Linked DNA regions of Drosophila melanogaster. The protein of the gene in region 2 interacts with the protein of the main gene of each other region in a pairwise test. Each region holds a gene or a part of one and is shown on either strand. Other genes may lie near its edges.

What was found.
Region 1: the proteins of unk (region 2) and Bro interact in a two-hybrid assay, tested with the Drosophila melanogaster proteins (one large-scale study listed by BioGRID).

Annotation. Positions count from the first base shown.
Region 1 is NT_037436.4:1,645,062-1,649,213, reverse strand, and holds Bro (brother), read right to left. Parts: upstream 1,346-4,152; 5' UTR 1,310-1,345; coding exon 668-1,309; 3' UTR 602-667; downstream 1-601. Other genes in the region: CG17249 (uncharacterized protein), read left to right, coding at 1,814-3,232; CG13919 (uncharacterized protein), read right to left, coding at 3,277-3,672. UniProt on the Drosophila melanogaster protein: Regulates the DNA-binding properties of Runt.
Region 2 is NT_033777.3:23,150,782-23,160,609, forward strand, and holds unk (unkempt), read right to left. Parts: upstream 7,082-9,828; 5' UTR 7,063-7,081; coding exon 6,998-7,062; intron 6,930-6,997; coding exon 6,720-6,929; intron 5,713-6,719; coding exon 5,293-5,712; intron 5,231-5,292; coding exon 5,028-5,230; intron 4,769-5,027; coding exon 4,659-4,768; intron 4,460-4,658; coding exon 4,351-4,459; intron 4,190-4,350; coding exon 4,064-4,189; intron 3,994-4,063; coding exon 3,413-3,993; intron 3,357-3,412; coding exon 3,159-3,356; 3' UTR 1,311-3,158; downstream 1-1,310. Other genes in the region: VhaAC39-2 (vacuolar H[+] ATPase AC39 subunit 2), read right to left, coding at 7,339-7,705, 7,773-8,458. UniProt on the Drosophila melanogaster protein: Essential for late larval/early pupal development.

The DNA of each region.
Region 1 (4,152 bases), on a different chromosome or scaffold from region 2:
ACAATCCGAATGTTTTCAAGTTTTCAAATCGCTGCGGTATGTATAAGTTTATGAATTTTTAGTCCGCGGCGGCGTTCCCTTCACCTATTCCATTTTCACTCGACGCCTTTCCGCTTTCAGTTCGGAAAGAGACTGACTCGGATTCGGATTCAGATTCACATTCAGAGCAGTTGCAAAGTTTATTTCGGCAGCATCCCAAACGGAATGGCGGAAAATCAATACGTGCTCACGGGACCGGTGCTCTGGCCGCATCGAGAGTCAAGAGAGGACAGCCGCAGCCACAGCCGCGACAGGCCCACCCCGGAGAGTGGAGAGCACGGCGGAATGGCGGAACGGCAGCTGGACCCACTTCACCATCCTCGGGCAGTCGGCTCGGGTGGTGGTTGTTCCGAAAGTGGCGCAAATGAGGCCAAAGACCCCGGCTAGCAACCCTTAAGGAGGCCCAGATAAACAATCATTAGGTGAACATGAGTGGCTTTCGCCAAATGAATGACACACAAAACTCGGAAACTCCTTGTGAAATGAGAGTTTTAGTAATTGAGAGCAGATATTACCATTAGTGTATTAAACATAATCTCAGTATTATAAGAGCACGATCAATGGGTTTCAGATATTTATTGTTGATTTACTTAGATGTTACTTAAAGCTATGAGGGTAATATATAGCACTACCATCCCATTGGTCCTCTAGGCAGACCAGGCCCACCTCTGTGATGGTGATCCTCGGGTGGAGTCTGGGGCGTGTGGTAGATTCTCCTGGACTCAGCCATGCGCTGGTTGTAGCTTTGAATCTGCTCCTGCAGCTGAGCATCCTCCTGCTGGGCTCGTTGTTCATCGAACTCCAGGCAGGCAGCGCCATCCAGTCGGTCCAGATCCACCCAGCCCCGGAAGCGGACGCACACCCCGTTCATGATGAAACTAGAACGCAAATGAACTTTGCCCCGCTCCCGCTCGAAATCGCAATCCTGCTCCTGGGCGTACGGATTGTGGTTGGCGTTGAAGTAGAGCTGCAGATTAGTTCCTGAAGCTACCATCGATATCTCCGCATAGCCCTTGCGGCAGTCGTTGACAAACCGCATCCTGCGCTCCTCCATTGCACGTTCCCGGTATCCTGTGTAGCGAACCTCGCTCTCCCTACTCAATCGGCGGAAGAGCTCGTCGCTATCGAACTTGGACCTCTGGTCAGGCACCACGCGGGGCATCTTGAAGATGAATCTGGGCTTGGGCTGCTCGTACATAGCCATGGCTTCGTATGGCGGGATCATTCCATTCATGGCGGCCGCGTCTCCGAGATTCTGGTGATGATGCATGTCTAATGTTATAACTGTATTCTCCGAAAGATATAGTTGTACTGATCAATGTTAAAATTGACCGCCTTATTTAAACAAAAAAAAAAAGTTGTAGAACAGGTAATCGGGAGCGATTGGGCTACCTAACGAATCCCCTAATTGTCGCCTGGTAATCAAGGATGGAAACCATCTGGACACAATAAGGATCAGGTATAGCACTTATAAGTATCCTATTTGAGGTTTGTTTTATAATCCGTAGGGTTTTTACAGCTCCGAATATTATACTTTGAGGATTGCAGGTATAATGCTATCATAAATAAAACGAACGAATTGAACGCACTATATAATTTTAAGTTTAAATTCGAAATTACGTTTTAGCGGTAATTTTAACAGTGTTGGTTAGCACAGCGCTTAAGCAAAGGGAGTTGCCAACCATGGCAGCCCAAGCAGGTGACAACTCTAGAGTCCGGGCACATTAAACAGCTGTTGTGTATTGTATTGTTTAACTTTAGCAATTTTATAAACATGTCGCTTGTTGCTTATGCTGCCAGTTCTGATGAAGATTCGGAGAACGAAGAGGAAAATTCTGTACCACAAGTGGAAGTAATAAAACCCCAAGCCAAGCCGAGCACACCAAGTGAAGCGTATCTAGCTCGGGAATCAACCAGTGGTCACATTAGTGATGAAGATGACGACTACGTTCCCCAGGAAGTGTCCCTTCAGGAGTTAAAGCCGCCCAACGGAAGACTGCTATTAGCCTTACCCAAACCAAAAGTCACTGCTCCCGCTAAGGATCTGGAAAATGAGGATGTGGACAACCAGGTTACTTCCGCCTTTGCCAACCTGCCCATGCCACGAACAGCAGCGAAAGGAAAAGCCATTGTAGAGGAGAAAGACGATGAGTTTCTGCACAAAAAGGCGCTGCCCGTAGAAATAGAGAAACCTCCACCGCCGCCAGTCAAGGGAAAAGTAAAAATCAGCATTCCTTCACTAAGAGATTTCTCAGATGTAGACCAGGAGAAAGCTGACAGGGCTAAGAACAAAGTTGATAAGCCCAATGTACCCAAGGGATCGGGATTGTTGAGTCTGCTGCCCCAAGCAAAGTCGGAGCGCAACTTCTCCAAGAACTCTTCATCCGCGGTAGCCTACCCATCAGCCAGCACTACTCTTGCTTCCAGTCTAAGCAATAATCCTGCGCAGCCTCGAGCAGCACCAGCTTTTGTTCCCGATACAGTTAAGCAGCGACGAGCTGCACACAACACCGAAGGCGTAGATGGCCCTAAGGCCGGGCACAAGAAGAATCCTGAGACAAAAGACGCTTTGAAGTCAACAAAATCCAAACCTATAAGTAAACCCACTTCGCTGGTAAATGCCAGCGATAGTGAAGATGATGACGAAGATGGCACTGGAGACTTTTTCTCCCTGAATTCCGAGCAAAAGCTGCCTGAGGTGAGCAGCAACGAGATTAGCGCTCTAGTGGCCAAGCGAGCGGCCAAGATGGTGGAAGCCAGTAGCAAGTACCTAGAGGAGGTAGCCGAGAAGGAAGCAGCCGAAGCAGAAGCCGCCCGACTTCAGGAAGAGCAGTCTCAGATTGCACAAAAGCGCTACCATGAGCAACAGTTAAACGCAGAGGCCATGGACGCATTGGTGGGCAAAAATGCCAAGCGCCGGCGGAAGGAGGCCAAGGAGATGCAGGTGATCGACATATCTGGGTCTCAGGTGCTACCTGATCGCGAGGAATGGATGCGATCGGCTCTGGCTTCGTCCACCACCTTCCAACCGACCGGCGTGCTGACGGACGAGGAGCCGGTGGCAGGGACTCGGCGCAAGCACCAGATCACCTACCTGGCGCACAAGGCGAAGGCCAACGAAGCCGAGCTGCAGGCCATGTGGTCGGCCAACCGGCAGACCCGTCGGGCCACCCAAAGCAAATACGGCTTTTGAGTTTTCACTTTATGTACACCTAATCCTACAATATATGCTTAATATTACTGTATCCAGCCCTCTCGTTTTCCCAGCCTGCTGCCAACATAGAAGATGGCGGTGCTCAGCAGCAGGATGACCGGGGCAACGGTCACGTATATGGGAATCTGTTGCGGGTACTCCAGCGTTAGGCAGATCATCACTTGGGAGGCGATGGTCAGCAGGACGCCGGCAATGTTCCATTTGTAGAGGAACAGGAGATCCGTCAGGCAGGTTAGGTTCCGCCACTTGCGGATAAATTTAATGATCACGTAGATGATAATGATCACATCGAAGAACCAGAGTGGCGTAAAGGTGACGAACCAATTCCAGGTGGTGCGTGGGTCCAGGCGGAGACACAGAAGAATCAGGAAGACCAGGACGATAAACCAAGTGAAGAGCGCCCGGTGTGCCAGTGTCATCTTTGTCACTTATTTATATATTTTCCATGGTATTACAGAAAATAAACAAAGCGAAGTTACCGTGAATAGAATGCACTTTGTCCAGTGCTGTAAAACTACGATTACAGTGGTCACTAAAAGTGTTCGTAGAAATACATTTACCAACTCAATTTTCGAATATTATTGACGAAGATTAAATATATTCAAAAATATCACGTAAAATCTGTATATTTAACTATATAAAGAAGACTGGAGAGCATGATAATTCATTCATATTCATGTGTGTACTTTTGAAAACTTATGGTTCCCAGTGTATGCACATCTGCCAACGCTGGCAACACTGACTGGGTCGCGAAGAAGAAGATAATTGACGTGTCACAATTTCGACGATTGGTTGGTGTTTTTCATAAAATTAATTGTTGGCAGTATATTACGTGTTACTTGTAGCGTATCAATAAAATGGGTTTGTTCTAACACCCACCTCTTGATGTTTTGATACAG
Region 2 (9,828 bases):
TTCTAGATAAAAAAAAAAAACAAATTATTTAAATTGATTCCACTTAGTTCGTCGAGTTTTCACTTATTGTGTGTGTCTGTGTGGGCTTGGTTCGCACAAAACTGCATAAATCCATTCATATTCATAATTGTTGTAGACAAGTTTAAAATACTAGACAGTACTTTCGGTTGCAAATTGCTCGGTCTCCGCGATTTCATATTTAAAATTCCTGTTCGGTGTTCAGAGTTGTCATGTTTTGTTTTTTTTTTTACGCTATGCTTGTTAAACCTTCAGTTACAGTTTTCTACAATTTGTTAATTTATTATGAATTAACTAGTTGAAACAATTGGTAGCAAACATTTGTTCTTAGTTCTAGATCTAGAGAAGTAATTGCCTTTGCTTTTGTTACTCGTTTGTATTTCCTCTGGTAAATTTTTAACTGAGAACCCTATAAGCTAGCTAATAATTCAATTTGATAATTTAGACATTTATTTACTTGTTCTTTTTTGTATCCTTAAGATTTTGATGTTGTTCTGGTCTACGTGTTTTTTTGTTTTTTGTTTTTGACAATTTGTTAAGTATGCTACGTGTGTCCATATCTCTTCCACTACCAAAATCCTACTTCTCTTGCCTTTTGTTTTCTAAATGGAGCTGGAGCTGTACAACATATTTTATATTTTTTGTCGTCATTGTTGTTGTTGTACATAAAGTCAAGTTGGTTTACAATTTGATTTGTTATATTGCTGTTTGCTGTCGCTAGCTTGCGTTTATATATATAAATATTATTTTGCGTTTTTTTTTTTGTTCTTTTTTTGTTTTTTATATATTTCTGGATCACATATTCAAGTAGTTTCAAAATCACATAAAAATCACTCTTACAGTAGCGTATACAAAATACATGTGTCATCTATAAATATATATGTATGTAACGTACATATACTTTTCGATCTGGTTTCTGTTTGATTCTTCACAGTTGAGATGGCGTGAAATGGATTTCTTGACATGTTGTAAAATTGCTTTGCATTGGTTTGTTTTGGAATGGGGTTGAAAAAACGCGTAGTTCGATAGACATCCCATGTACATCTCGTGGAGATTCATAAAGTAAATTAGCAAATCTTTCAAACTGTGTCTCCGGTGATGAGAGTCAGTGATATTCTGAGAGAGGTATGCATTCAGTTTTCAGTTTAGTTTGGTAATACACACAATAGATTTGCGACTCAACAGCTCCATTATAAAACCAATTTTCTCATTGTTTGTTCTCGTGATTTTTAGTTTTTTTGTGTACACTTGTATCATAAACTATTAAAGCATTTATAAGTTAACACACAATTGTTTATTGTTATATTTATTAATTATTTGTATTTCTTGCTGATTTGGCTTCTACAAAACATAGTACAAACACACACAGAGATAAGAGCCTTTGCGCTGCCTTTCCTAGTTAGCTTTGTAATAATATAATTCAGTTTTTCATTTGTATATATATATTCATAGTGTTGCTTTTGTTTCAAATAAATGCCTATGTTGATTTCATATTCATATTCAATTCATTCCCAGAACAGTTTCATTTTGATTACATCTTTATCAATTCAACTCAACTAGCTAACAACACGTTTCAGTTTCATTCAACATTGTCCAATTGATTACGTTTGATAATTTTAATTCGCAGAAAAATACAATGGTTTTTGAAGACGGTTTTACATTAACTCTGGTTAACATTTTCATTAAACTCTGTTCATTTCGCTGTATCGAGTTACTTTTATTGTTTATGCTTTCAACATCACACTCATCGAATCTGCGTTCAAATTTCCCATAAATATATATCTGTTCATATTCGTTCTTGTACAATCAGCCAAATGCTGGATTTAATATGACTTAAATACTACGTTTTGACATTGACGATTCATTTTATGCTTTTACTAATTTGGAAGCGTCCAGTTGAGACTATGAAAGTAAAATGAAAATTGAAGTCATCTGCAAAGTAAGTACTTAAAGCACTATTCAAATCACAAAGTAACCTAATAGATTATATACGTAAGTTGATAATTTTGTGACTGGTTAATTGGCATTGGCTTACACGAGCTGCACCAAGGCCTAAACAAAAATCAAAGTGTTTTAATACATTCAACTTGGTTTTCAATAAGACAAAATGAAATGAACTTTCGATAAGGAAAAGCGTTGTCGCCTTTAGTTACTTCTCGTTTCAACGTCTATAATTACTTTTGTGCATTTGAAAAAGGAAAATAAAAGCTGAGTACTGACTAATATTGATTACCCGTCAGTTACATTGATTTTATGACCATTGTCTTGGCTTTTAGTTGTAGTTTGCATTCACAAGTTTGAAACACATACATAAAAAATACAGTTTGAAAATCGGCTTATATAAAATCACTGGTGGTATTTGTTTGTTTGTGGTTGTTTTCTGCTCTTCTATGCGACAATATATTGTTAAATTTGTTGGTTTCTATAAATTTGTTAATAGTCAATTGCTAAAAGTGTCTAGAAAAATTAATATATTATATATTTATATATCTTTCATTCAATTACATCTTGTAATTGTTTAGTTCTCATAATTTCTTATGTAATACTAGTGAAAAGTACAATATGACTGAAAGTGTAGCATATTTAAATACAAATATAGAGATACATATGTGGTTAAAAAAAAAATAAATGAGACATTGCAAATTCGTGCAGTAGATTAGAAAATATGTATGCCTAAACATTGAATATTAAACAAAATTAAAAGAGTTGGTTACATAAATCATAGTACAAAATCAATTTAAAATGTTTTTTCCTGTATTCGATTCGATATGAGAAAAAATAAACAAAAATAAAATTACATACTTATTCGTTTAGAGCAGCTAGCTAATTCAATTAATAGTTTGTGCCTAGTAATTACTAATATTCATGACGATAATTTGCATATTTTGAGTAGATTGAAAACATAAATTATATATTCCCTGCCACATGCACAATTAGTAGGCATGTGTCAAATCCTAACTGTTCAAAAGTTTCAACGTTTTGCTTAAGACTAAAGTTTGCTTTGTGAGTACCACATTGTCATGCTGTTCGCGGTCTTGATCCCCATGATCCATTCATATCCCATCGGAATCCCCTTTCCCATCCCTATCCGATTTTCAGCCAAAGGGCCACTTGTGGTCCTGTTGCTGATAAAACATGTTCTAGGTGTGGGTGGTTATTACCGGCACCTGACAGTAGGGACACTCGGTGACCGATTCAGCGCATGTATTGCAAATAGACAGGTGGTTGCACGGCTCCAGAGTAACCGTGCGATTGTTCTCCTCGCACTTCATGCACTTCTTGGCATTTTCTAAATATAATACTTTGTCGACCTCCTCCAAGTCGGTGCGCAGCTTGGACTAAAATGGTAGCAGGTTAAAACCCATGGAATTGGGAAATTAATTAAGCGACTAACCTGCAATTGCTTCAATTTCTGTATGGACAAGTCCCGAAGCTCTGCTGGCAAATTTAGCTGTATCTGTGCTAGGTCATAGCGCTCCTTCCACTCCTGCGCCTCCTGCTTGGCCTTGTCCCGATGGAGCTCCGCGATCTTTAGCTTGCATGCCATGTCCTCGAAACGTCCGTTCAACTTGTGAATTTGAGCATTCTTCGTGAGCAGCTCATTGGTGATGCGACCCAAGTCGCTGTTGTTTTGCGACTGCAGAGATTGAAGGCTAAACGCATTCTTGGCCGTATTGAGAGTGTTCTCGAACAGACTATTTCCCACCGAGCTGCTGTTGATGTCGTCGCGTATGGTATTCAATTCGGATATCCTTACCGAAGGACTAATCGACAAGCCATCGCCAAAGCCAGGCGATATGATGCGCGACGGAAAGAAGAGACTGCTATCGTTCTGGGTGGCCGAAAGGGAATTGCTGAGTTTGTTTGAGCCGCCATAGTTGAAGGCGTCCACGTTGAAGAGATTGGCATGGTTGGTGGGACTGTAGGTGAGCGAGCTGCTGGGAATGTTGACGGCAAAGCTACCTGAGTTAAAATCTGTGCAAATGGAATGGAGTATTAGCATTAGCAATTAGTTGGCACTCATAGGACGTTGATGACTACTTACCGTTAATTGAGTTACTTAGAGTCGTATTAGGAATGTTAATTGGCGCCGAGGAACGTGTTAATAAGCTAGTATTGGCCAGACTCGCCGACAATGAGTTCTCGCGCGGATCGTCCATTGAGCAAGCTGCTTGCAAAGAGTGAAGACAAAAAATTATTGAATTTCAGTTAGGCTAGGGGTCACGACATTTGCTATCTAAGCGCTGACATTCTTTGTCCACAACCAAAACGAAGAACTGATTTCTAGTGTATAACTTAGACGTACGCATGTCAGGACTCTGGGATACTCACAACGACTGTCCAGGGGTCGTGAGAAACTTAAAAATTTGCTGAAATTTGTTGTGTTTTCCAAAGCGTCTACCAACATTTTATTGGTGCTATTACCATCAATGTTCAACAACTAAGAGAACAAAACGAAAAGAAAAAAATCGAGGAGAGCAGGACACATGATTAAATGGCTTATCGAAAGTGTTAAGCAGTTAGTTGATGATGGTTAGCTGGATTAGAGCGGCAAACGATGTGTGGTAGTACGTTTAGGTTTAGGCGATGCAAATCGATGGCGTTATTTGGATGAGTGTTATTGCTTCGGTAATACGTACATTATCGACCCTTTGAAACGCATCCTGAGCTTTTAAATCAGGATAGGCATTGGAAATAAGCTCGTTTAGGTATACCGTGTGATCCCGCGTCTTCTCGTCAATTGAACATGCTTTATTTGGATTGGGAGTAGTTACATGGACAAGCAACACCGAGCGGCAAAGCAAACATTGATTGATGTACGTGTTTTCAAAGGATTTGAGTGATAGTTGGAAACAGATTTGCGGTTTGATGGATGAGGCGAGTAAAAGACAAACATTAAGTTAGAACTGTAATATCATAACTTGGCCCTAAACACATCCCTACAACAACTGGTTGTGGAGCACAACGCTGAGTCCTATATATTAGCTCATCGAATCCTCTATACTTACGTTCCACATGGGCAAAGGCGCAGAAGACGCTGCGCGGACAGTATCCGGCCTGCTGGACATCGTTGCACTTGGTCGACTTGTAGATCTCCGGGTGGAACTGCTGCTCGGTGCGTGTGTGGCAGTACTGGCAGTTATCGCCGGCCTCGCAGTTGCCCGGTTCTCCCCATTCCTCGCCGTGCTTGACATTGGGGCAAGGAGTGGACCTAAAACAATGGTATATCGCGGTTTAAAACTGACTTTAGGATGAATTCAGGGGAAATCTTACCTGTACTTGTATTTTCTGGGCGAGCGACGTTTGTCCTTGCTATTGTGGTACTGTGGACAAGCGTATCCTTGGCGGCACAGGCGCGGTGGGCGCTTGCAGGGCTCTGTCTTGTAATTGGCCAGCACGTAGTTGGTGTCCTGCCACTTGGGATCCTCGTTCATCAAATTGCGCTCCTTGTCCAGGGCATTCAAAGCATTAGTGCTGTCCAGTGTGCTCTCTGCGTTCTGCAGGGTCTCCAGCTCTTTGATGTCATAAACCGGTGGGCGCTGGTCCTGCATGCCGTGGGCGAAGGCGCAGTGTAGTCCATTCTTGACGCAGTATCCTCGGCTGTCGGTGTCGTGGACGCACATGCATGTCTTGTAGTAGCGCAGATGGTATCGCCTTTCGGTGTCGCCAGCAGTGCGGTGTAAGTAGGGGCATCTAAATGGGGAGAAAGGGAGTTTTAGTGACGTCAAAGCAGGCGACGAGGCTAAGTGAATGGACTGTATGATACCCATTAATTAAAAAGAACCGTAACAAAAAACAACAAAGTTGTACATTTACAGCAAAATCATCATTTTAATACATGTTTGAGGGTATTTCTTTAATAAGTAAAAGAAATTTCTCTTTCAAAACTAAAACCGCTTTCTTTCCACCTTCGTACCCTGTAAGGAGACTACAACGATAAATGGATAGAATGGAGGTCGGGGTCAGAGGTTGGACCTCGAGTCTGGGTCATAAAAACAGACATTGTTGTTGTCTCTCGCAAAGCGTAATTGCGTTTTACTTTTAGCCCGTTCTTACACTTCACAGAGCTTTTCTCCAAAGCTCGCCAGCCACAATAACTGTACATTTCGAAGCTGCCGGGGGAAAATCAAAATAAACGAAGAAGAAAACACGCAAAAGCGAAACGCAATAAAAACAATGACGCACACACTTGTAGCGATGCCCTACGTCTGTGCGTGTGTTTGTTTGTGCGTACCTGTGTGTATGCGAGCGTCTGTGCATGTATACATGCGACAAGAGAGCAACAACCACCACAAAACGGATGCTGATAAGAATTTGCTAGCCCACTAGAGCTGGAATCACTTTCACTTTTGCACGGTGGTGACCTCGCCTGCACACACATACACATGCACAGAGATACAGCAAGCAGCACGCCCACATACGCACTTACAATTTCACTTTTGGCTTTCCAGACAACGCCAGGCCCCTGCCACCGCCCCCACCACACCCCCCTGCACACAAACACACTATGGTTTTTGTTTGTAAACACGAAGACAAGAGATACACACACATCGCGAAGGAAGGAGAGCGCAAAGAGGAAACAAAAAAAATACAACGTCGTTCGCTATTGCTGTCTCATCCATCCTCCGCCACTGCAATCGTCCCGTCCAGCGTTTTCACGGGCCATCAGAAACTATGAATTTCACAACATTTCTACTCACTCGTCGCCCTCGGGACAAATCCCAGTGGTCTCGTCGTATTTGGTGCAATAGTTATCCGCACTGTAGTTGAAGGTGCCATCGCGTTTTCGCACTGGACGACGCCGACGCTGGTTTTGAAAATGCCAATTGAAACAGACGAAGGGGCGATGCTGGTTGCACTTGTGCTGTAAAAACGACTGGCACTGCTCCACGCGGAACTCCTTCAGGTAGCTGAAACGGTTGGCGGAAAGGTTGCACGTCAAATTAACCATCGTTTGCATTAGTTAGCATCTATTTACGTGTAGTGATTTGGTTTTTCCTGCTGCGAGGAAAGCAGCAGCTTGTTCGTTTCATTTGCCAACATCGTTGTTAGTGATGTGCAAAAAACATCGGTGCGTCGGGCATCCATGGCCTTAAGTCGATTGATATCGATAATTTTTGTCGGCATCGTCCATATCGATTGGTTAGCAAATACACACACCCCAGTTGATGGGTGGTTAGCCGGGACGCAAACGAAACAAATTTGGCGCCAAAATTAATGCGAAATTGTTATGCATGTGTTTTATTTATAACAACGCCTATATATTATAACACACATTTCAAAGGGAAAACATTTCGAAGAAGGAAAGCAAAAGCGTTTCTAGTCCAAGGGTATGGGAATGAAGGCGTTGATTCTGTCCGTCTGTCGCTGCGCTATGCATTCGCTAATCCAGACGATATTGCGTACCTCCAACTGTTTAAGTTTAATGAACGAGTAGAAGATCCCGAAATGGTACTGCTGCAGGAAGGTCTGCACATTCTTCTTGGCCTCCATCATGAGAAAGCGGTCCTCCAGCGTAATCATGCCGTCCGAGTCGCGCTCCAAATTGTCAAACATTTTGCCATAGCCATCGAACACATTGCAAACATCCCTTATTTTATCCGTATCATTTAAAGTGGACATGGAGGCCAAGGCTATTTTGGGCAGGTAGCCACAGGTGGGGAACATCTTTAGACGCTCCTTCGGTCTGAGTGTTGGAAGGTGGGCATTATGAGTATAATATGAAGAATTTCATAGCAACACAGATATCTTACATGATATCACTGCCAATAGCGTTCACAGCTATTGTAATGGTCCGACGATCCGCCTCGAAGGACAATAGATTGGTCATCACGTTGGCGGTATTGCCGCCCAGTTGGCTGCAATAGGCGTAGAATTTCTCCAAATAAGCACGATACAGATGGGCACGCACAATCTCCACGTCGAGGTAACGCAACGACTCCATGGGCAAATCGCGTGGCACAAACCGAGCGATGGGCGTGTCAATTAGAACGGCGTCGAAGAGCTCCGCAGAATTCGAGGCCACTTCGATGGCGCCCAGTTGATCGAATTCGCCCAGCGGATGACACATTCTTAGCAGACGCTTCATGGATCGGTGATTGTTTAGGCCAGCGACCAGAAGCGCCACATTATCGATCATGAACGGATATCGTATGAACTCCATAAAGGTGGTCAGCGGCTCCGTCGAATGACTGCGTATGTAGTAGTATTGCTGCAGCAGACGATCCCTAAGGCATCTTTCGATCACCTCAACGGACGGCGCTGATTGTTCGCCACCAAAGATGAGACCGTAATCCGTGCCCTGGATGCTGATCATTACGTCCTCGAGGGATTCACACTGGGTCAGATTTAGATAGTCCGAGTGCTTTAGCATGCCGTTCTTGAATCCGCGCGTTAGGGCCTCCAGGTAGCCATACTCCGTGTTGAATATCATCGACATTTTGACTTATTATTATTTTCGAGCTATCTATTAGTAGGAATTCACACGCCAGGCAACTTTTAAGTGAAAGCAGAAATTGATAGATGGAACATGCGGTGATAGGTATTTCTCGGATGAACTGATTCTGATATAAATACTAAGGATTCTAGATGCTAAAATAATATTTATTAAGCTACAAATATATTTATATATAATATTTAAATATTCGGTGGCGGTATCTACCGATGCACGCTAGATGGCGCTACCGATGGTGCAAGGCTGCCATTCGTTTATCCTTTTTGACAATATGGCAGCGCTCTAACGGTTTTTTAAATTTTAACTTTAAATTTGAAAAGATATTATTTGTTTGGTTTGTTCGTTTTAAAGTGCATCCAACTAGATTATTTTAGTTATAAGAAAATGCACCTAGTTAAAGCTTGCTATTTGAATTTCAGATAGCTATTTATCGGCCCATTCTAACGCAATTTCCGCACATGCGCCTGGAGGATGCTGTACGGAAATTACCTGTTGCTCTGGGCCATTTGTTTACTTGCTGCCAACTCTGTTTGTTTACTCAGTCAACTAGCTGCGCTCGGGCCAATAGCATACTAACTGCAAGTTGTTACACGTTCATTCAACTAGAACAAATAAACATGTGAATTTCTCGCCCGGCCTTTGTTTTTGATATTTCTTTGCCTTGTTAGTGTCGCCGCGTGTGCATCGCATAAATGTGGCAATAAAACGACATTTATTATTGCTACCGAAGCATTTAATTGCCCATCACAAGAGGGTGTCACCTTCTCACGTTGCATTAACATCAAAATGAACTAATTCCTACTGGCAGATGAAAAATGGAACTGTCACCAAAGAAATTCTGCCTTCTGGAGTTGTGAATGTGCTCAAAAAAAAAAAAAAAATGGTAAGTATTGTACTTAAATCACGAGTTTCACCTGTTGCCTTTCCATGTCGTCAAAGACTTTAAAGATATTTAGACAAAGTCATGGCAGCTGACAAAAATCGGTCGATATGGGCAATAAATAAGATCACGTTGTGCAGTTTAAAGTTGGCATTGGCCATGTCACTACCGTAAACTTTCCATGCGGAAAAAACTTAGGCTGCATTCGTTCTTTGTCCCACAAACACAAATCCCTGGACATGTGGCCGTCAAGAAGTCCCAATCGCGGGATGGACAAGTGACGGCTGAAATGCGCTTCCAACTCATATTGCTTTCAACCAAAACAGAAATCATCGCGTGGGTAGCATTTTTTCGCATTGGCGAATACGAATACAATTTTCACGAAAAATATGTCAGCCACATGATGAAAGCAGGAAGTGTTCAAGATATATACAGAAGAAAGTATTGTGATGTATTGGCATATCAAAGATAGTCG